Linked DNA regions of Rattus norvegicus. The protein of the gene in region 2 binds, or shares a complex with, the protein of the main gene of each other region. Links are inferred from orthologs where the notes say so. Each region holds a gene or a part of one and is shown on either strand. Other genes may lie near its edges.

Region 1 (7,585 bases), on a different chromosome or scaffold from region 2:
ACTGCAGAAGGGAAATACACACAAAAGATCCAAAACAGTTCAAATCTGGGTCACATAATATCCTTGGGAAAAGGGGAGGGGGGAATCTTTGATTTATAGATCCAGGAAAATGAGGTTTAAAAGTGACTTTGAAAGGGTTCCTGAAAACACAGCTGTGGGTACACCCCTATGGTGAAGTTGATCTAGAGAGAGAGGGAGGGAGGGAGGAGGGAGGGGGAGAGGGAGGGAGAGGGGAGAGAAGGTGAAGGGGAAATACATGTGACATCTCTATTAACCTTCTGCTGCTAACCAAAAGGGTTGGAATGTGAGGGAGCCCCTTCCAAATTCTAAGGCGGGCCAGTTTACAGCTGCAGGCTCCGCAGCCACTCTCTGTGGCGCACTCCCCAAAGGATGCCTTTAAATTGTAACAGGACCTTTCCTTCCCCTTCCCCAGTGGCCTGATCTGTTCGGAGGGTTAAAGGAGAGATCTTAGCGCCAAACACTTGTCTCCAAAAGGGACAGCCAGATGGGGGGTAAAGTGAAAAAACAAACTGCTAGGCCTCACCTCTGCTTACCAGAACAAGTTAACAAAAGCCACTTCTCTGTGCTGGCTACAGTAATGACGGGGTCCGAGCAGGCTCCCTTTTCTAACTTAGCTTCGAAGATTAAACAAATTTCATTCCTTCCCAACCTGGCCCAGGAGATAAACAGCAGTCACATACACCCTCTCCAAGCCGGTTGGCTTTCTAGAAAGATTCTGAACAGGGCTTTTGGCTTCCCGAAGAAAGAATAGCTGGGGTTAATAATAGCTAGGCCAGGTCTCTGCAGGATCAACTTTGCCTGGGGACTGTTTGAGAGAGTGTGGCCTGTTTTGAATTCCAAAATGAAGTCTACCCAGAGGAGTAGGGGGCTTGTTAATCCAAACCAGTTTACAGATCTTGTCATTGAACTTCGGGGCCAGAGCCAGGAGGATGGGTGTCCCACGCTAGCCGGCTTTCCCAGGGACTTTATGGTTCAGGCTGGTCTTTGTCATCTGGGGCAGTCAAGTCCTCACACGCAGCACCTGGTTTTGCTGTAAATTTTCCTCTGGTGTGGATCCCACTAGGCCTGGCAGACTGCTCGAATTCCAGGGAGAACAACTTACAAGAACAAAAACCAGTTTGGCTGCAGACAGGAGGAGAGAGGCAGTGGATCTGCAAAAGCCTTCAGGGTTGAGGCAGGGGGTCCCCCAAGCAGGCAGGCCTGAGGGAGAATGGCGGAGGTGTGTGGGCAGAGGTGTGTGTGGAAGGCAGCCAGGGGGTCCGGTCTCTGGCACCAACACCAAATGCTCTAAGGGTGACAAGGGGTGGTTTGACAGGAACCAGGACCTTTTCTCATTCGGGGAGCAAAGGGTAAGCGTGAACCTGGCATTCTAAAACTTGTCTATTTCTGACCAGACTACGCTTTCTCAGCAGCCTCAGTGTGGGGATGAGTCTCTGGGGGTCGCTACACCCTTCTTCAACCCAGCTGCCATCCCCAGGTCATAGCAGCAGGAGCAGGAGGCCTATGCCTGTGCTGTGGCCCAGCAGAGATTAAAGATGCACCTACAGGAAGCTCTTAGCAGCTACAGTCTGGGGCTTCCCCTAATTACCTCTAGCTTAGCGAGAGAAGGAGAGAGAGAAAACAAGACCCTATCCCTGGGTCCTGTTAAAAGCCACCCTGCTATCTAATTAGGAGTGATGGTCCAGAAAGCCATGCCTGAGAAAGGACAGTCCCACAAAAGCCCACGGCCAGCCCCACTGATTAAGAGGCTCAGACAAGCCAGGCTTTGTCCTGTCAACATGAAAGAAAGAACGGACTGAAAGAAAGGTGTGTGTGCAGCCAGAGGAAGCCACCCAGCTGTGGCCTCCCCAGCAAGCCCCAGCTTGTACCCGAGGGAGGCCGGGGCTTGGGGGTGGGGAGCAACCGCCCCTGCCAGGTTCCCAGCAGGGCCCTGGGAGCTGCCCTGGAAGCCACCTGGCCCTTTGGGATGAGGGAAGCCAGCTGGGGCCACACGGCCAGACCTGAAACACAGAGACTGGCACCAAAGTCTGGGATTATCTGTTGCAGCTCGATGGACCAGCTCTGAACTGTCAGCTAGGACCCACTCACTGGCTTCCTGGAGATCACACCGGAGAACAGAAGAGGCCATAAGCCCTGACCCTCACCCAGGGCCTTGTTATGCCTGCCTTCAGGATAGGTTCGCAGATCCACGTTGACCACATACTGCTAAGTCTCTATTGAGGAGTCGACTTTAGTTTTTGGTAATAAATCCACATTTTTTTTAAAAAAATGGACGCAGTGAAAGGCGGCCTCCCTCTCCCAGCACACCAAGCCCTACCCCCAGGAAAAATCTCTTTGCAATTGGCCTTTCCTACCTTCAGGGTTTGGAGGCTATCCCAAAGCAGGACCTCTTCTTAACAAGTGTCTGAGGAGAATTTGAATTTGCTCTGTAATATTTTGTCAGCTCTATCACAGGCCTTTACACCCTGACCCTTGCTTGATTCATTATTTGACACTTTTTGATCTTAAATGGAAACAGACAATGGTCTCCCAGAAGCTCCAAGGCCTTTATCTGGAGCTGAGAGGATTAACGTGGACCCTTTCTTCCCGGAGATCCCTTCAGAGCCCCAGGTGCCCAGTGAGAGAGAAAAGGGGGGGGGGGTGGCCTTAAGCTTCATTATTTCCAGGTTGACGGGCGCCCATGGTGTGTTTGGTGTCTTGACTTGGGGTTTTCTCAGCAACTTCCACAAGCAGAAGAAAAGTGACTCAGGAAACAGCACTATCAGGGTGTGTTATCACCAAAGCCAAATATTTGATGGCCAGCCCCACAGCGCACGGTTGGGGGTTAGTTTGAGCAAGTTAGATACTTGTGCGCGCACAGATGCAGGGGGAGCTGTCTCAGACCAGCCGTAACCCAGCCTCGCATCCCTTGGTTGGCTGGAACTACAGTATGGAAACGGTTTCCCCAGCCATTCCATGGCGGCCTCTGTTCCGAGGTCCCCAGCCACCCAATCGCCAAAACCCGTGGTTTGCGCGCCACACGTGATAAACGCTGAAAATGGATTCTGCCCGCCCGGGACCTATCATTAAATATTTAAAATAGAAAACTCGCAATGGCAACGTTCTTTCCCCGGCTCCAGCCGAGAGTCCAAAGGTGGGCGACTGGCGGCTAGGAGAGGAGCCCCGCGACACTCCGAGCGCGCGCCGAGAAGGCGCACCGCAAAGGGACAGGTAGGGCTGGCCAGAGAGGGCAAGGAAAGGGGATGTGCGAGATGCCAGAGCCAAGCTGGGCTCAAAGGGGCGGAGGAAAGGCGGGAAGGCAGCTTTACTCTCAAGGGCCCTTTAAATCCAGGTAGCGCGGGCCGCTGAAGCCGGTTCAGCTCACATGACCCAGCCGGGCGCTTTGAACTAAGCCGCTGCCGGGCCGGGACCTCCCGCCCCTGAGTGAGATGAACGCGCGGCGGAGCAGGCAAAGAGACTCAGGGCAGGTCCTTCCCTCTCGGTACCCCCCACAAACCCTCCGAGCCGGCAAGACTCAAAGACTCACAGAGCTTAAAGTTTACCAAGACCCGGGGGCAAGAGTCTCTGGCCGGCACTGATGCTTTGCAAATGGGAAGGTGGACCACAGTGGTTGAAAGCAGGCACCCTCTCCCTGTCCCAAAGTAGCCCTGGTCTGAGATATATCACCTCCTACCGCCACTCACCTAGGTTGACGAAGCTCATGACCATGTCGGCGTCGGTGAGGAAGTGGCTGTCCTGCAGGCTGGCCAAAGGGGGACCCTGGGTACTGAAGACGGCCTTGTAGGGGTAGGAGAAGCCCTGTCCGTCCGGCCCACTCTCCTCCACCGCCATGGCGTTGTACAGGTCCAACATGAACATGGGCGCCGAATTATGTTTTCCCTGGAGGTGCGGGCGCGGACGATGGGGCAAGCCCAAGATGGACAGGATTTCCCGCTGCATCTCCCGCCGCTCCTGACTGCGGAGGCGCCGGTGGATGAAACTGGAGTGCACCTCGTTGTCCAGGCTGAAGTCGGCCAAGGCAGAGCGCAGCAAGAACAGAGGCGCCCAGAGCGCCACGAAGCTGTGTGGCGCCGCAGCGCGCAGCGAGCGCACGTGCATCGCGCCGGCTCTACGCGCGATCCGGGGCACCGGGCCCGCGCCGCCCCAGGTGGCAGCGGAGGGGGCAGGGCAGCGGTCCACGACCCGAGGTCACTTGCTGCAGACGAGCTTCACCGTGGCCTCGCCACTCATGGCCACTCCCTGGCCCGCTGCGCTCTGCCCGAGACGCCCCAGTCCTCTACTCAGTTCTGGCCCGGGGCCCCTCGGCCCGCACTCGCCAGGACGCACCGCAAGGCTAGCACAGCAACTCCAGAGAGAGAGCAAGAGAGCGAGGAGGCGGGCCGGGGTGGGAGGAGCAGCAGTTTGCAGACCTTCAAGTCCGGAGAGCGAGTGCCGGGGAGGCAGCAGGGCGCTGGGCGAACCCTCGCTCCCTCCTCCCACTCTGCTCGCGCTCGGGCCCGCGGGCACCAGCGGGAAAAAAAAACCCTTCCGATCTCCCGCGCCCCAAACAAGGACCCCAGGTCGCTTCTCCAGTCCTGCGCGCCCCAGATCGCCCGCCAGCCGCCTCGGGAGCCCCGGAATGGGGCGCGCTGGGGCCGAGGAGTGGGGGGAGGAGCAGGAGGACCGACTTCCCCGCCCCTCCCGCTCCCGCGGCCTCCCACCTGCGCCTGTCCCCGCCCTCCCCAAGCCTGGCCCAATGGCTTCATTCATTCCTCCCAGGGCGCTCTACAAATATTTACCGAGTGCCCACCGGGTGTCCGGCACTGGGACGGACGCCTCAGGGGCGCAGAGAGAGGAATCCGAGGCTGCAGCCCTCTAGAGACTCGCACTTGGAAGTGGCCAAAGTGTAGCAACTATAGGCTGTGCTAGGAAAGCATCCCGGAGGGAGCGCAGGAATCCGAGAAGGCTCCTCGGAGGTGGCCACTCTTGGACAAGGCTCATCTTTCGAACCTCCCGAACACTTCATTTGCTCCAGTCAAGCAGAAACACCCGCCCACCCCCGCCCGTACTCCCACCGCCTGCCAGCTTCGGCTGCCCTGGCTTTTGCTCCTCAGGGAAAGTTCTCTCCCTGCCCCTCCCCCTCGGGTGCCACTTCCTCTGGTAACCTTCCAGGACCGAAGATAAAGTGGAGATAAAGTTGTTTCCTCCTACAGACGTTACTTTTATTTTCTGCACTTCACTCCCCAACACACACAAACACACACACACACACACACACACACACACACACACACACACACACACACTGTCATCGTCGTCCTCCTCCTCCTCCACCTACCCCTACTCCTCTTCCCTCATCCTCCTCCCTCCTCCTCCTCAGGTTCAGCACCCAAGGGATCCGGTACAGGTACTTCGAGGCTTTTTTTTCCCCTAGTATTTTTGAACTGCGGATCCCCAGATGTTGCAGCTCTGCAGAGTTCATAAGTGAAATCTGGGACTAGAGAGTGCTCCCACCCCCTCCTCTTGGGGGGGTCCACCCACCCCTTATCCTGGCACAAGGGGCCAAAGCCTTACTGTCTAACAACCCTACCCCCAGCCCCAGGTAGGGCCTGAGGAGTAGGGAGTTGGGCATTGTACCCAAGTTCAGGACAACCCCCCCCCCACACACCCACACTGAATTTTCCTGTCGCAAAGGACTAGCCTCCCTCTCTTCACAGAAAGAAAGGACCCAGACAGATGCTGGAGCTCTCAGTGGATAGCTGCTCTTTAGAGCCTCGGTTTCCATTTCTGAAAAATGGGAGCAAAACAGCATTCACTCAGAATGGCAGTGAGCTGTGGGGTGGTAAGCCAGGCCTCCCTGCTCTGCTGAAGGCGGGCTCCAAGAATATCCATGGGAGTCTGAATTAAAGAGTGGCAAGAGGGGCTTGGGAAGGACCTTGAGTAGAGGGCTCCATCTTGAAGTCCTAGGGTGAAATGGGACAGCCTGGTCTTCCGGGCTTCTGGAAACAGAGATAGCTACCCTAGGGCTCTCTGGGCTCCTTGGGAGGATTTTAGACCATGTGGCTGCCTGAGGGGCCGCAGGGATGGCCCCAAAAGAGACCTGCAGGTCATAGTCCAGGCTGTGGACACCAACAGTACTGTGTCCCCTGCCAGCACAGCTCTGAGAGGCCCCTCCCTGGACCTGCTGTGGCTTGTGAGCTGAGGCCACTCAGGCTGTGAGCTGGAGACATGACCTCCAGTGACCAAGTTACAGTTCTTAATATTGAATAAACAAAGGGGCCCTGCCCTTACTTCGGAAGGCTGTGTGTGGCCTTCTGTGGCCAGCAGGAGTGCCACACATAGGCCAGGCAGGAGGACATCAGAGTGATCAAGCCAGTGTGGCGACCTCCATGACTAGCTGGTTCTCAGGCCCCCGGAAACATCAAGGAGGTCTGGGACAGAAGCATGGCAGTCTTTCCCGTTTCTTCTCTCTGAGAAGCATCAGAGCTCAGGTGGAGGAGGCAGCCAAGAAGGCAGAGATCGGACGCCTTGCTGGGCTTGGGTAGGGGAGGGACATGTGACCCATGGGCGGCCATGACAGGAGAACCACTGTAGTCTCTGTCCGTAAAACAGCACCCTGGGTCACTGCAGTCCCCAGAGAGACTGGGCTTCACAGATGAAATGACAAGCGGGACAGACAGCTTCAGAAGGAAGGACTTTCCTGAAAAGGTTATCAAGAAGAGCCCAGCCAGCAGGTTCCCCCAAAGCAGAATCAAGAGCTACACCAGCCCTGCCCAAGGTCTCTGCCAAAGAAGTCTCTACAGGTTATCTCTTCTAAAGTCTAGACTGACATCAGGTTAAGGTGTGCGGCTCACAGAAGCCTCCTAGTTCAAATCCACCCTCCATCTTTTGGAGCATCTCCCTAGCAAGCAAGGTGGGGGTATCCTGAAGGGAGGTGCAGGTCTGTGTGCTGCTACTTTGCACATGGAAAATACTCATTTGTCACGGGTTCTTCTTGGGTCCTCTACCAAAGACCCATCTCCTAGTGTGTTTCCTACTGGGCTCTCCCCTCCCCTTCTTCCCAACACACACACACACACACAGAGAGAGAGAGAGAGAGAGAGAGAGAGAGAGAGAGAGAGAGAGAGAGAGAGCAGATATCCCCTCACCAAGTACCTATTGGGCGAATGGCAATCAGGCAAACCAAACCTAAAAGGCCAATGTCTGAGGGGCGGACCATGAAAGGCCAACCTCTTCCTTCCCAGGCCCCTCTCCCAGGTCCCCACCTCCCAGAGGCCACCTCTTCTCATTCCTGAGGCTCCAGAGATAAGATTCCCTCTGAACTCCTACCACCCCAATTATCTCTCAGCCAAACCCTGGGGGAGGGAGGTCTCTTCTGCGCTTCCTCCCAGAGGAGTCCCCAAGACCTCACCCAGCTGTTTCCTGAGTGATAGAGCAGACAAGCAGGACAGATTCACCCCTGGAGCACCCAGAGAAGGCTTTGAGGATGCTTGGAGACAACCTGATGGGAAGGAAATGATAGCCTGGATCCTGGGAACCTGGGGCTCCACACTCAGAGCTTCCAGCTGTACATAGTGAAAGTAGA
Region 2 (6,570 bases):
CCTCTGTACTTTGATTGGTACTGGGTTGGAAGAAGGCAATGTGTCGGTAATAGTTATAAATCTCCACGGTGGGAGACACTGTCCCTCAGCAGCTGCATCGGTTCATGGACTCAGGCTGCCGTAGAGGACTCCTGGATCAATTTTCCTCCTCTTAGGAGACAGGCAGTAGGTGCCTCTTTGCTTACAGCTCTCTCCCTTAGAATTATAGTACTATCAACACTAGTCGTAATAGAAGGAGAGAGTGGCCAGGGCATCATCTGCCCAAGCACACACTTTAGTTCCAGGACCAGCGCCTCCTGCCTTCTTCTTGTGGGACCGCCTGCGTCGGGCAGGGTTCTCGGTGCGCGCGCGGAGCCGTCCTGGGCCAGCCCTCCCGGTCTGTCAGTGCGGTGGTCTGTAGCCCGTCACGTCTGCAGCGCGGGTCCTCCCAGCTCACTCTGGCTCCTGGCTCTGAAAGCCGAGAAGCTCGCCGGCTGCGAGCGGGTTTTCCAAGTGGGTAGGGGTGGGGAGGAGGGGCGCGGGCGGGCGGGCCCGCGGCGGGAGGAGGGGGCGTCGCGGAGGGAAGACCTCGCATTGTAATCCAATGACATTACCAACGTGGGGGTGGGGGCGCTGGCCTCCGCGCGCTCTCCGAGTTTTGGCTGCCCGCCCAGCTGGGAATAACTCTCTTCGCATAATTCGCGTGTTTACCAGGCATGAAAATTCTTGCTTTGGGCTCCCCCCCCCCAACCCCGACCCAAGCCCCCTCCTCGTCCCTCCTCCCCACCTCCTCCGCCCCTCGCAAGTGAAACTCTGTCTACAAAAATATTGGCCCGGGGCATAGAAAGTTTTGCATAAATTCATAAGTGATGAATGGCCGATTTTTAACGTTATTTGGGTATTTGTCAGAACTTAACAAATATACGTGTGGACGGCGGTTCATAAACTTAAACATCTCAATATCCTCTTTCTTCTGGAAATAAATTACGTTTGTTTGCCCGGCTTGGAGTCTTAAGGTAGCCGACATTAGGAATATTTTAAAAGCCATCATCCATCGAGCATGTCTCCCAGGCGCCAGAAAGATTAAATGAAAGAATCATAAGATGGAGGTCTTTAACTTTTAATCCTTTTACAATGAAGCCTCAGATAGTCGCGGGGGCAGGGTGCCCTCTCTGGGGGGAATAATGCCGTTATTCCTCGGCTCCCAGTTAATGAATACCCTAACGTCTGTCCCACGGCTGACGGAGGCAGCGCCGGGGAGGGGGCTCCGGCTCCGGGGCCAGGCTATTGAAATGAGGAGCCACCGAGGCTGCGTCGGGAGGGAAGAAAGCGCCCGGCTGGAGGGACAGGGAGGGCGGGGCCCGGGGCATTGAGACTGAGCTGGGGACTCGGTGCAGGTTTGAAATAATTAGCATAGATTCGCTGCGACTCCGGAGGGGGGGCTGGGGGGGGCGGAGGACAGGAGGCCTGGAGGGAGGCGCGACGAGGTGGCAAGGGGGTGGGGAAGGGAGCAAAGGAGGGCGACTGTGGAGTCCAAGATAAATAAAAGGAGCCCGGAGCGGTGTCAGGAAGCCGGCCCACGTGGAGCTGAGTGGATGGCCGCCACTGGGGATTGAGGTGGAGGGATGCACGCGAGAGTCTAAAGCGGGTCCCAAGAAGATGGATTTTTTTTAAGGGTGGGGTACAGTAATATTAACCCGAACATTTAAGGGGTAATTTTGCCTCTATACTAAAGAGCAAAAATCCCATTCTGATTTCACCTCTCTTCTCACCCCCACCCCCCAAGTGGAGTAAGTGTGTGGGGGGGGGTCGCGTTTCTCTGCTCAGTGCAGGTCCCAGAATTGGTGATTTGTACCCAGATTCACATCCCTCTGAAATTTGGGACCTCAGTCTTTCTTAGGTCCTGGAAGAGGCCCAGGTGAGTGTCAAATATCCAAATTATCTCTCCCTAGTCAATTGTAGGCCTGGGACGTGGGGGCTTCAGACCAGAAGTCTCCCTGAGGTTGTATGTAGTAGAATTCAAGGGGTCGCTTTAGCCCCAACCACCATATTTTCCGGGCATGCAAAGGGTTAACAAGGGCTGGATATTGTGGTGGGGGTACAAGGAGGGAGGGGTGGCGGGATCTGGGTGGGCGCGCTCTGACACCCCCCCCCATTCCTCGGGGGTCAAGTTTCAGCGGCACTCCGCCCCCAGGGAAGGTGTGAAAGACACGTGTCCCCATTGTGAAGGGCCTGTCAGCCTGGACAAAGCAGCTACCCCTCCCTCCCCCCCTCATCGGCCCAGCCCGGGGTCAGCTCCAGGGGGCCGGCTGGGTGTCGAGGTCACTACAGGCCTGAGCTTTGGTGTCACGGGGGAGGGTACCCTGGGAGACTCGGTAGAAACCACATGATACTTAAAAGATGGGGTTTGAGAATAACACCCCCGCCACACACACACACTGAAAATTTTACAGTCACCTTCATCACCCCACAGGAGGGGAGTCCAAACGGATGAGCATGTCTCCCAATAGGCGTAGTAAGCGCGGCGACAAACCCCCCCCCCCCATCAATCACCAACACAGTGAATCACAGTGTAGAGCCCAGTCGGTTTTAGTGGTTTTCTTTAATCCTGTTCTGCACTTCTTTCTTATTTACTACACGGGATATTATAAAGAATAAATAGCAGATACTCTTAATTTACAATGATTAGTCATTCCATTTGTTCTCTATATTTACAATAACTGTAAAATAACATTGAACTCTATAACTTCTTCGAGGTCTAAGGAAAATCAAAACATTTTCCGAAGAATGGAAAATAGCTTTTTTAAAAGTCCTTCTACAAAAGTTCCCCCTCTCTTTGTACTTTTAAGAAAAAAATAACTTTTCCCCCCTGCTTCGCCATGCGAAGGGCATTGGGATATAAATAGCAGGTTAACATTATTACCAACAACCAGAATAAGTCTCTCTTTTCTCTGCTCTTTTTTTTTCACTTTGCTTGCTTATTTTTTTTAAATACAGTAGAAGCCGGGTAACTTTTGACGTATAATACTGACCTTTTAATAAGTAAATTAAAACTGGGACCGTATATACACACATATACATTCCTACACAGTTAAACAGTGCATTACATGAACCAGAAAGCCAGGTCTCTGTAGCCAAGAAGAAAAAAAAAGTTCATTGAAAACCCTCGCTAGAGGGTGGTGGAACTGGTTGGAGGCGGTGGGGGTGGGGGGCGTTGGTGGGGATCCATCAAGTGTCTAGGCGCGGGCAGGGGGCCCCGAGTTCTAGCAGGAACACTTACACTCGGAAATGATGGGGTACTGGATGGGAATCCAGCCGCAGCGCTGACCCCCGCGCCGCTGACAGCGCCACCGCAGCACGGTGAGGTGCACAGACTTGGATGGCTTACACACCATGCCCTCAGGCACAGAGCAGGAGCGCTTGCTGAAGCAGCTGCCCACCTTCACGTAGCGCGGCCAAAAACGGCTGCCTAGGTCGTTCCACGCGTACAGCACCGGGCAGAAGGTCTGTGACCACAGCCACATCTGTAACTTCCTCCTCAGCTTCTTGCTCAGGCGCTGCTTCTTGCCTTGGGCCAAGCCCTCGGAGAACTCCAGCCCTTTGATCTCGCTCGGCATGGCCCCCGACGGCCGCTGCCGCAGCAGCTGGTCCAGCTCCGCCAGGTCCTCGGCACCTCCAGCCGGTCCCCCGCCCCCTCCGGGTCGGTCCTCTGGGGGTGAAGTGGCCATAAAACCCGGGTCGTAGTGGCCCCCGAGCAGCGAGCGCAGCAGCGTCTCGTTCAGATCCTTCTCCTTAGGGTCAAAGATAGGGTCTGGATGTTCGATGAGGTCCACCAGGGGCAGGTTGTCGCTGGGTGCTGGGCGGATGTGTAGATAGTGCTGGCCGCCGGCTGGTGCTGCCCGCAGCCCCAGGACCACCACCAGGGCGTAGAGGGTGACCCCCAGGCTGGGGCAGCGCTCCATGCCTCCCGCGCGCGTCCCGGGGCTGCCTCTTCGTCCCGCGTCCCCGGAGGAGAGCACGCCGAGTCCGCGGCGCTGCCGCGCTCCCGGGTCCCTCCGGAGGCGGCTCACCCGAAGCTGGGCTGGCGCAGGGCAGGCAGCATGAGCCGCGAGGAGAAGCGTTCGCGCAGCGCCGGCTCCCGCCGCGGCGCAGAAGACGCGCACGAGTTGGTCACAACTCCCCCCCGCCGCTCTACTTGGGAAGGCGGCCGCGGCCGGGCATCCGAGATTACTCCAGCGCGACCGTGGGGCGCTGGGGGCGCCGGCTCCTCGCTGCTCTCCCCGGCTGCGGGCGGCGCAGGGCGCGTGGACGAGCCTCTTTCCTCCTCCTCCTCCTCTGGCTGCTCGGCGTCCTGCTTCTCTGTGCCCAGCCTCCGGTCGAGCGGGTCCTGGGCCACTTCTCTCCGTCTGCTCCGGGCTGCACAGCCGGCTCTGCCCTGCGGACTCCAGCGGCGGTGGCGGCGGCGGCGTCCGCGCACGTTGGCACCGGTTTGTCTGTCTCGCAGGGTCCAAGCCTTTAAATTTCCTGCACTTTCAGCTCCATCACCATGGAAACCACTGACTCTCTCCGCGTTGCCCCCTCCCCCTTCTTCCCCCCAAACAACAACCCCACCCCCCACTCCTCCACCCGCGAGGAGCCGGAGCCGCACGGGCTCGGGGTTAAGCGACTGCACTGGTCGCCGCGGCGGCGGCGGCGGCTCCGGCAGCGCCCAGGACTGTGCCCCGCCGGACCCAGATGCCCCGGGAAGCCGACAGTCAGGCTGCCCGCCGGAGCTCACAGGCGGCGGCGGCGCGGCAGCGGCGGTGGCGGCGGCGGCGGTGGCGCTTGGCAGGTCTCCGCGCAATTTTCTCTCCCCCCCCCCCCGCCCCGGTTCTCCTCCTCCTACAAAATGCACCGCCCCCCTCCTTTCTCCTGGAGCAATGCAATGGGGCTCTAGGCGCCCCGCCAGGGCCAGTCCCGGGGAAAGCTCGCGGCGGCGCTGGAGCCAGGCTGGAGGGTGCAGGGCTGGAGTTGAGGGGTGTGGGGTTGTCGAGGTGGGGCGGGGGGGGGGTGACTCTCACTAACTGAGTGCTTTGCACCGGGAGAGGAACAGCAGGGAGATGCTGGGGGCTCGGTTTTCAGTGCAGTTCCTAGCAAGAAATTTCTCCATGTGCATGGAGCATTTTCCCGGGTGCGTGTGCGTGTCTTTTTATCGTTCCTCTCGGGATTGGACTAAGTCCCCTCCCCCCAACACACACACACACACACACACACACACACACACACACACACACACACACGCCGCAGGGTTGCGCAGCGTGATGTAATTTCTAGGTAGCACTCCTGTTTCTCTGCCCCTCAGATCCATGAGGCGGGGAGGTGGTCTTCTCACCCTCCTCCTTGGCCTGGTCCTACCGGGTGAGTGGCGGGGAAATAGAGGTACATCCTCCTAGCCTGCGGTTCCCCTAATCCTCGCTGCTTGCTACAACTAGCTCTCACCTCCCTGGGGGCGGCGCGCCCTCTGCTGGCCCTTTGTGATCCCTGCATTTGGTTCTGGCTGAAGTGTGTGTGTGTGTGTGTGTGTGTGTGTGTGTGTGTGTGTGTGTGTGTGTGCGCGCACGCGCGCGCGCAGTGGGGGGAGGGGGTTGCGTCCTGTGGTGCTCAGCTAGGTGGGTTTGTAGGCTGCCCCTCTGTCTGGCCCAATTTCAAATTCTGCATCTGTGCCATAATTGTGGGTACTGACAGGTACTTTATGTTTCTGAATGCTTTCTCATAGATTTCCAGACTTAGTGTAAACAAAAATCCTGAGATTTTTCTCCAAGGTACTTGGATTTCACAAGCACACAGGTTTGCATCATCCGGCTGGGGTAAGTGACCTTAGTGGGCAGAGAGTGGTGACTAGAAAAGGAAAGGTATTCTAGAAGTAAGGTACCCAGGTCTGGATGCCATCCACCCTGGTCCACATCTATGTAGACCTTGGGTAAGTCACTTGTGTGGCACTCAAAATTTTAGTTTTTGGATTAGTGACCTAACTCCAGGTCTTTTTTGAGACCTACCATATCATAGTTCTAACAAACTGAGTTAGGTCACTAATCCAGATTCAGCATCTTTTACCCATCAAAGGGACACTGCTTCTTGAAAAGAAGGAATAACCTCTTTGATGAGAAAGGGGAGCTGAAGTGACCCCTCCCCCTAATTTCCCTTTGTATGAAGAGTTGGGGTCAAGACCAAGCTTGTCCTTTATGGTGATGTGGTTGGTGTCCATCGTAAGGCGGTGGAGGAGAGACACCTGGAGTGAATGTCTCCGGAATTCACACAGGAGTGGGAGTTAGGCAGTCCCAGGGCCACAGCCTCAAACACACCAAGGTCTAGTTTTCCTTTTAGTCCCCTAAGGGGAAAGCACTTGGTTGTATGGCCTTTCTCAGTACCTCAGTAGTAGAGAGGGGTGGCCAGTTTCAGGTGCGAATGCTTCCCGCAACTGTAACATCTGGACAAGTAGAACTAGACTCCGTGGGTTCTGTCTATAACAAGGTCTTGCTTTGATCACCAGTGGAGATGAACAATCATTGGTTTTTAAAAATTGGTCTAGGTCTTAGGGTGAGAGAGATGACT
Region 3 (7,526 bases), on a different chromosome or scaffold from region 2:
CTCCTCATCACAGGCCCTATAAGGGGACCTTGTAGGTCCAGGAGGGATTCTCTAACGACCAAGAGAAATGTCCCAAGGTACATGTAAAGAGGACAAAAGCAGCTTGGAGAGGAGTCAAGAGGTATTCAAAGCATCCGCTGACAAACAAGAGACACTGAGAACATCAGTGGCAAGGAACACTGCACACTGAGGAACTGTTTTCCCCACAGGGTCTTTGTGAGCACACTAACACAGCCAGAAGTAGATGGGAGCCTTCCTGGGTGTCTGCATTCAAACCCATGCTGGCATGGTGGATGGACCATGCTTTCTTCATCACAAGACAGAGTTGTGCCTTGAAATGTCCTAGCCTGCGGCTATTTTCTCTCCCTCTTTGAAAACTTTAGTCACAGGGCCACATCGTTTGTTAGTTACAAAAAGAAAAAAGAAAGACTATGTTCTCCATAGTCAGAAGAACCAGCATGAGATCCTTCTGTATATGATCTGCCACTAAAGGGGAAGTCTCTATGGGGCCAATGGAGTCAAGCAATTTCCAACTGTTTTCCAATGGCAGCCAGTTCGGGAAGGTCTTCAGTGACCTTGGGGTGGGAATTCAGCAAAGTCTGGACTCTCCTGGATAAAATCTATGGTAAAATGCTCTTAATGTTCAACAGGAGATTTTGTCTGGAAGAATCTACTGAAAGACTACCATGGTATGTCTTGTCTCATGCCATTCTAGCATTTACGAAGAAGCCTACCAAGTAACACATGGCTTATTAAGGTTTTTCAGTGGCACAAGGATGCTTAGAAAAACTAAACTCTAGGCTACTTAACAATGTGAACAGTCTTCCCATATGCCGTGTATACCTGATGATGACTGAAAAGAAATGGTTTCTGAGATTTATGGTAAAAATCACATCTGATTGCACCAAGATATAAAGTCAGTGCAAGTTTATTTTAAGCAGGTCGATAACTTCTATACAGTTTTACACCAGAAAAACCACTTTTAAAAATACAATTTTTCTTGTGAACGGAAGCTCACTAAGTTTTAAAATAAGACACCTAGATAGCGTTTTGCCTGTGTTTTTATCAAGCCACTTCCAAATGAAGACTGAGAATATGTAGATTTTATTGACAAACCTTACATTCAATTGGATTTTTGAGTTTTAGTTGACTTAAATGATGCTTTTAGCTTAGTTAAGATAAAGATAAAATAACTCGTTCATTTTTTTTTACAGGTAAAGAATAATTTTTTTCACATTAGAAAATACTAATAAATAAACAAATACACGAATAAATTGTTTTCCTGCTCTATCTCCAAAGGCAGTGGGAAAAACAGCTGTGCTGGCTAGTGGTTTTGTTTGTTTGTTTTGATCTACAAAACATTTTCCAATAAATATTAACCCAGAAAGATTAGCTTAGCCCTGGGGACGGGGGCTGGGGGTGTACATTCTGGAATCTCCCTCTCTCAGCAAGCAGACCCTAAGGAGCAGAATAAGGTCTCACTATCTTTCAATACTGAACGTTGTCCCCAGAAAACCTTAGACACCAGTTTCTAGTGCCCTTCATAACCATTGGCTGCCTCAAGGAAGATACACCCCTTGCTATGTGACCTGCCGGTGGCTCTTTTTCCTATTATCAACCAGACTTCTCAAAGTTTGAGTCATCCCTTATTGGGGATGGGGGTTGGGCTGCCATTTCAGAGCATAGATTTCTACTTAAAATGTATCCTCTCAAGAAAGGCAAAGCGAAGCTTTAAAAAGGGAACTTCTCTCCTAGCTCCCCATTGTTCTATAAATTGCAGCTCACTGACAGACAACTCTGAATTCTTCTAGAACTTGAAGGAACTGATATCCTATTGAGATTGCATTAAACCAAAAGCACATTTAAAGTGACACACACGGAATTGAACTGAGGCACGATTATTATTATTATTATTATTATTATTATTATTATTATTATTATTATTTTTACTAACTGCTATAAGGACATTGGCACAAGAGACTTCAATAGGCCTCTACAGCATGTCTTACCCACTAAATCTCCTTCCGAAGAAATAAACATTACTCTACCTTGGGAAACCATACTCATATCGTATTTTTTTAAAAATTCCATTACCTTGTCTAGGAAGGTAGCAGGCAGTGGGAGAAAATGCTTTTATCTGAAGGCTTGACCTGTCTCCACTTGGAGACTTAAGAGTTAAGCAGGAGAAAGGAAGGTCATTGGGGAAACAGTATGATGGATTGTGGAATTGATCTCCCACGGGGATTAGATAGGGATTCAAAAATCTTTCAAACGAGGCCCAGATGAACAGCAAATTTGAATGCTTTGGGGCCCTGGATTTGATTTGTTAATACTACCTCTGCCTAGCTTAAAACTCCAGCCTGAACACAAGCCACAGATCTGAGCTTCCACACAGATTTAAGGAGCCCCAACTCCCTGCCTTCTGTGAAATTCTCCCACAATGAGCTGACAAGGGGCTAGCCAGTCTCTCACCCTCTTCCCCATCACTCGATTTCCCTCCAGTTCTAGTGGGGAGGAGTCTGTCTGCTGGCCACCTGCCAGGAAAAGGGTGCGGACTCACCAGTGGGGAATCCCTGGCTCGGGGCCACAGAGGGGACGGTACAGAAGCCGAAGGACCGTCCACTGTGCTAGCGGAGGCCCGGGCTGCCCACTGAGTCTCCGCCCGCTGTCCCCGCCCCGCCACCCGCCGCCCGCTCACCTTCGTGATGGAAGCTGCGCACGGTGTTGGCGCGGCTGGCTGCCCTCTCCAGCCGGTGGTCTGGGGCGGGCGCTCCTGGCTGGCCCGAGTGCCGGCGGTACAGGTCGAGCATATAGGGGGGCACCACGACGTCCTTGCTGGGGGTGGGTCTCTGCTTCAGGCCAAACATGCTGAGCAGCCTCAACTCAAACTCGCTGAGGACGTCGTCCGAAGGCCGGGACAAGGGGCGGCCGGATGCCCCGGCGAACTTCTTGCGGCCCAGCTCCGGAATGAGGCCGGCCGCGCCGCCCAGGAGGACCTGGGGAAGCAGCAACACTAGAAGACAGCGGGTCCCGGCCACCATGGTCGACCTGCGGACAGGGCCGACGTGAGTCACCCACGTTCCCCGCCCAGTCCTCCGCCCGCCCCCGCGGCCCCGGCTCCCACAGGGCTCGCTGGCCTTCTCCAGGATGCCCTCCTGGCATGTCATCCAAGCTACAGCCTGGATGATCAAGAGGATGAAGAACCCCTAAGTCCCAGCCGGACTTCTCACTTGGGGCTTGGTCTTAACTCCCAATTTAAAAAAGAAAAATCAATGACTGTCTGTCACCTTTTCTTGTGACACTAGCTAGTAAAGCCTGTGTCAGGAAGCTGGGAACCCATAGATTGTTCGGACACTGCATCCCTTACAACTATACTGCACAGCGTTCATTTGCACATAAACAGACACAAATGCACAAGTGACTTCCTTAGAGGCGCCGTATAGAACTTCCTGGTAGATTGTAGATTCAGAAAGCGGTAAACTAAAGATTAATACTAATGACGCCACTTGCAAGTCGTGGCCTACGCCCCTAACTTCAAGGTTGACCCACAGGCCACTCTGTCCCCTTCTCCAGACCCCTGTGCAGTCAAGAAATCCATGCACCTTTCTGCAATGACCTAAATAGATAGTGTCTATAAATGCACGTGTAAGCTGTGACACATCCGCACAGTCAGTAAACACACACAAAAAGAACCCCGACTTTTAGTAGCTTCCTAAATGGGACCTAGTTCTTAAGGATAGCGAAGGATCTCTAAGGCTTGGAGTGCTGGTGGGCAATGAACTAGTGAAATCCACCGGCCATACTCTCTAAATGGATTTCTGCAATTTGGGGGCGGAGGAGGGGGTAAAGCCCAAAACAGCCCTGATAATGTATTTAAAACTGGGGAGGAGGAACGGGCTGAAAGGAGGTCGCAGACCAGGTGGGCAAGACAGAGGGATCTGGGGTTCAGAGTGCCTGACCCCTCTAGGGATCCGCTCGCTGCACGTGCACCGGGAGAGGGTATGTTTACGTCCACTCCACCGGTCCTCCGAGGCGCCCAGCGCCGCCGGGCGGGAAGCGGTGTCACCCGCCAGCCCTGGGTCCGGGCCCGTGTCCTCTACCTTTAGGAGACCGCAGTCCGTCTAAGAAGCACTAGGGGGCACGTCCATTGAGAGAGTCTCCACATGGAAAAAGCTCTGTCCGAGGGACCTGGAGCAGCGACTGGGCTTCTGTTGCCTTTCTTCACCTCCTCCTTCTCCGGGTGTTCTCCCCGAAGGGAACCGTGTCTTGGGGTGGGCCCAGCCGGCCAAGGAACAGAGAGGTGACCGGGCTGGAGGCGGCGGCAAGACTGGATCCGCCGGGCGAGGACACCGGCGCGAAGTGGGGAGCCCAAGTCACTCTCCCGACAAGTTCAAGAAGTCTCCAGCCAAGTGCTGACACACAGCCTCAAGCAGGGGGAGGAGTGCGGGGCAGGGACGGGGAGGGAAGGCTGAGGCAAGGCTGCTGCTGTCGTCTTCCTCAGGGACCAGCGCTGGCGGGGCGCGGGGCCGGCTCCGGGACTCGCCGGGCGAGGGTCGGACGTTCTGCGTTAGCTGGGCCGCGACCCATGGCTCGGGGCAGCCATCGTGGGCGACGCCGGGTCCCGGCAAGGGCGCAGCGAAGATCTGGGTGGCGGGCGGGCCGCCACTCCGCATCCCTCAGCCTGACTCTGGCGCACCCCCATCAGCGCTCGCCAGCGGAACCCGCACGGCTGCGGCGTCCCGGCGTCCTGGGGCTCATTCTCGAGACAGTCCAGCCGCGCGTCCCCGGCTGCCAAACCGGGTGACCTCACGCTCCGAGCCCTCGGGCCAAGTGTCTTTTGTGGCAGCCTGGGGTCCGATCACTCTTCCTGCTCGCCTCGGGCGCTCACTCTCGTGTCGGAGTAGCCCAGCGTTGAGGGTAAGACTGTGCTCCGGACTCCCGGCTCTTAGCGTCGGTCCGCGACTCTGGCTTCTCCCGGACAGCTGAGGCCACAGAGCCGGGCGCGCACAGTTCGCAGCTCCAACCGGTGTCGTGCCGGCCCCTCGAAGCCCCGGGTGACCCTCGCGTCGCTCGCCCTGAGGGCGTCCGATGGCCGGTGTGGGCTAGGGAGGCTTCGTCCCGAGCTGCCAATCCCGGGCGGGCTGTGGGAAGCGCAGCGGCGGGCGCAGTGCGAGCCGGGCTCTGCGCGGCAGGGCGAGGACTCCGGCGGCGACGACGGAGGCGCCGTGGCGCGGCGCTCGCGGCTTTTAAAGGAGACGCCGCCTGCCGGCTCCCTCCCGGCCGTGGCCGAACACCTCCCCCTCGGAGGCGCAGCGCGCTGGGGATCCCCGGGCGGGCGGGAGCAGCGCGCAGGGGTGTGGACGGCGCGCCCTGAGGGGCGGCCGCGGCGGGGCGGGGCGGGGCGAGCGCGCGGCCGCTAAGGGGTCGCGTCCCGGCTGAGTGTAAAGCAGACCCCCGGGACCAGGATTCGTGCCCCAGATGCCCGAGTTTAGGGCAAATTCAGGGTAGGCTTGCCTCTGAGTTCCCCCACTGGGCCAATATTCAACTTGAGTTTGAAGTTTTTAGGTAAGATCACATTAAAAAGAAGAACCTAGAAGTTATCAGACATGTTGGCAAAGATGTGAGCAAACGCTTCTCTGTTTTGAATGGTGAGAAGAAAATGTCAAGAAATAGCCAATACACATTCGAGTGTATTATTACATTTTATAAATATTCATACATTTATATGCGCCCATGTGCATATATAGTCAAATAAATGAATCTAATAAAAGATGTATATACATATATGTATTCATTTATGTAAATTATAAAAATGAGGGTACAGGTTCTGTACATAGATATACACATGTAAAGTGGATGTCCCCTCTAGTGTTTGTGTGTGTGTGTGTGTGTGTGTGTGTCTGTCTGTCTGTCCATGTGAGGGGACAATGGGAGTTAATAGAAGTTCTCTTTATAGAAACAATCACTTCCATACTTGGGCTATTTATCTCCCCTCCCCCACCCACCTACACCAGAGGCAGGTAACAAGACATTTCTGGTTTGAGACTTTTGAATTTTCTGTCTGGCCCTCTCCACTAGGTCTCCAGAAGCAAGACTCTGACTGTGGCTAAGCCACTTTTCTTCCTCAGCTGGAATGTCCCCAAAGCTGCTGATCCAGGATTCGTTTTGAACTCTTTCCACTTCTCCCTCATTTCAGGAGCCTTCATACATACTACCACCTTGTTGCCCACATGACCCCCAAAGCTATGGGCAGAACATTTCTGTGGAAGACCAGATTGGTAATACCAGGTTCTGAATCAGATCTTTCAAGTTTGCAAAGCAAAGACAGAGAAAAACCAGAAGGAGGGGCTTTAATAATCTATTATCCGTGTGTATTAGCTTTTCAGTTGGGAAGCTAAAATAACTCTAGGTTCTGCTCACCTAAATCAGATTAGCAACCCACAGAGGGAAATTAGGCCCTGGCTGTTTCTAGAGCTGTAAAGGGCAAATAAGGTACTTTGAAGGAAGGCTGCCTACTAGGAAAATTAAAGGAGAAGGAATAGATTCAGCAATCTGCAATCAGTTACTGTATTCCTTCTTAAGATGTGTTGTAGAAATTGTCACTCTAAATCGTGAGAGACCAAACAAGAAGGCAATAAAACACTCCACTCAGACATGTAAGCCAAAAGTGCTGATCGCTTCTGAAGCCATTTCCTTCCCTATCAAGTTTAATTGAGAAGTTAACAATTGCTTCTGTCATCGGGAAGACTTGTGGAGCAAAGCAAAACCTCCAAACATATATGAGATTTAAATCAGAAAGTTGCCTTTAATGAGGAAGAGAAAGTTGACAGCTGTTGGACCCACCCCAAGAAAAGATGAAAATGAAACCTTTGGGGATGACATCAACAATGCCGTGTAGCTTTGGGCCTTTGGAACTCCAGAAGCGGGAGTTTGGCCATTTATGATATCCTTAGTAATCAAGACTCTGAGATAAAATGGATGCCTCCGGACAGTTACTCCACCTTGGTGGTGCCTGGCGGCTTCTTTTTTGTAGGACATGCAACGGGAGAGGGGAGGTGCAGGCAGTTAAAAGCCTTTCCCAGGAACTTTCCTGAAGTTTGGCCCAATTTCTCTGAAGAGCACAACTGTTGTTTTTTAGAGATGGCTGCCCTCTTGTGGTGGAAATGAGCGTAAACGCATGGGACCCAGAAGTGGATCCAGTTTGAAAGAATTCTCTGTTCTTTGGAATACAAAATAGACGGTCATGGTCAGTCCGTTCTTCATGAAATAGAAATCGTAGAGAAGAAACAAATACAAAGGCGTTGCTTTTTTACTCTCTATGCTTCTTTACTCTCTATCCTTCCACCCACAACTAAGAATGTGTGGTTGGTTACTTAATAGTTCGAGGGGATAGTAGCTGTCTTCTCTGAGGACTTGCTTGATCTTACCAATTAAAAAGTTTTTCTTGGTATCTGTCAGTTCAGAAGTTGAGAGTATCTCTGTTTGTCATTTTTAGTGTATCTGTCAACAAGTGCGTAAAGGGTCTG

Evidence for each region.
Region 1: the proteins of Nog (region 2) and Bmp7 are in contact, whole or in part, in a crystal structure (PDB 1M4U), measured with the Homo sapiens proteins. The link is inferred for Rattus norvegicus from reciprocal best matches to the Homo sapiens genes NOG and BMP7. Residues at the interface, in NP_005441.1 of Homo sapiens: His29, Tyr30, Leu31, His32, Ile33, Arg34, Pro35, Ala36; in NP_001710.1 of Homo sapiens: Phe365, Pro366, Leu367, Asn368, Ser369, Asn375, Ile378, Val379.
Region 3: the proteins of Nog (region 2) and Bmp2 are in contact, whole or in part, in a crystal structure (PDB 7AG0), measured with the Homo sapiens proteins. The link is inferred for Rattus norvegicus from reciprocal best matches to the Homo sapiens genes NOG and BMP2. Residues at the interface, in NP_005441.1 of Homo sapiens: Ile33, Arg34, Pro35, Ala36, Pro37, Ser38, Asp39, Asn40, Pro42, Leu43, Val44, Asp45, Leu46, Ile47, His49, His199, Arg204, Arg206, Pro219, Ile220, Gln221, Tyr222, Pro223; in NP_001191.1 of Homo sapiens: Trp310, Asp312, Trp313, Val315, Ala316, Pro317, Pro318, Gly319, Tyr320, Ala368, Ile369, Ser370, Met371, Leu372, Tyr373, Lys379, Val380, Val381, Leu382, Lys383, Asn384, Tyr385, Gln386, Met388.

Annotation. Positions count from the first base shown.
Region 1 is NC_086021.1:182,130,604-182,138,188, forward strand, and holds the start of Bmp7 (bone morphogenetic protein 7 precursor), read right to left. Parts: upstream 4,544-7,585; 5' UTR 4,120-4,543; coding exon 3,705-4,119; intron 1-3,704. UniProt on the Homo sapiens protein: Growth factor of the TGF-beta superfamily that plays important role in various biological processes, including embryogenesis, hematopoiesis, neurogenesis and skeletal morphogenesis.
Region 2 is NC_086028.1:74,623,312-74,629,881, forward strand, and holds Nog (noggin precursor), read right to left. Parts: upstream 3,942-6,570; coding exon 3,243-3,941; 3' UTR 2,563-3,242; downstream 1-2,562. Other genes in the region: Nogl1 (proline-rich protein 36-like), read left to right, coding at 417-492, 3,522-3,641, 3,852-4,810, 5,735-5,753. UniProt on the Homo sapiens protein: Inhibitor of bone morphogenetic proteins (BMP) signaling which is required for growth and patterning of the neural tube and somite. Essential for cartilage morphogenesis and joint formation.
Region 3 is NC_086021.1:141,262,342-141,269,867, reverse strand, and holds the start of Bmp2 (bone morphogenetic protein 2 precursor), read right to left. Parts: upstream 4,345-7,526; 5' UTR 4,101-4,344; intron 3,049-4,100; 5' UTR 3,042-3,048; coding exon 2,699-3,041; intron 1-2,698. UniProt on the Homo sapiens protein: Growth factor of the TGF-beta superfamily that plays essential roles in many developmental processes, including cardiogenesis, neurogenesis, and osteogenesis. Induces cartilage and bone formation.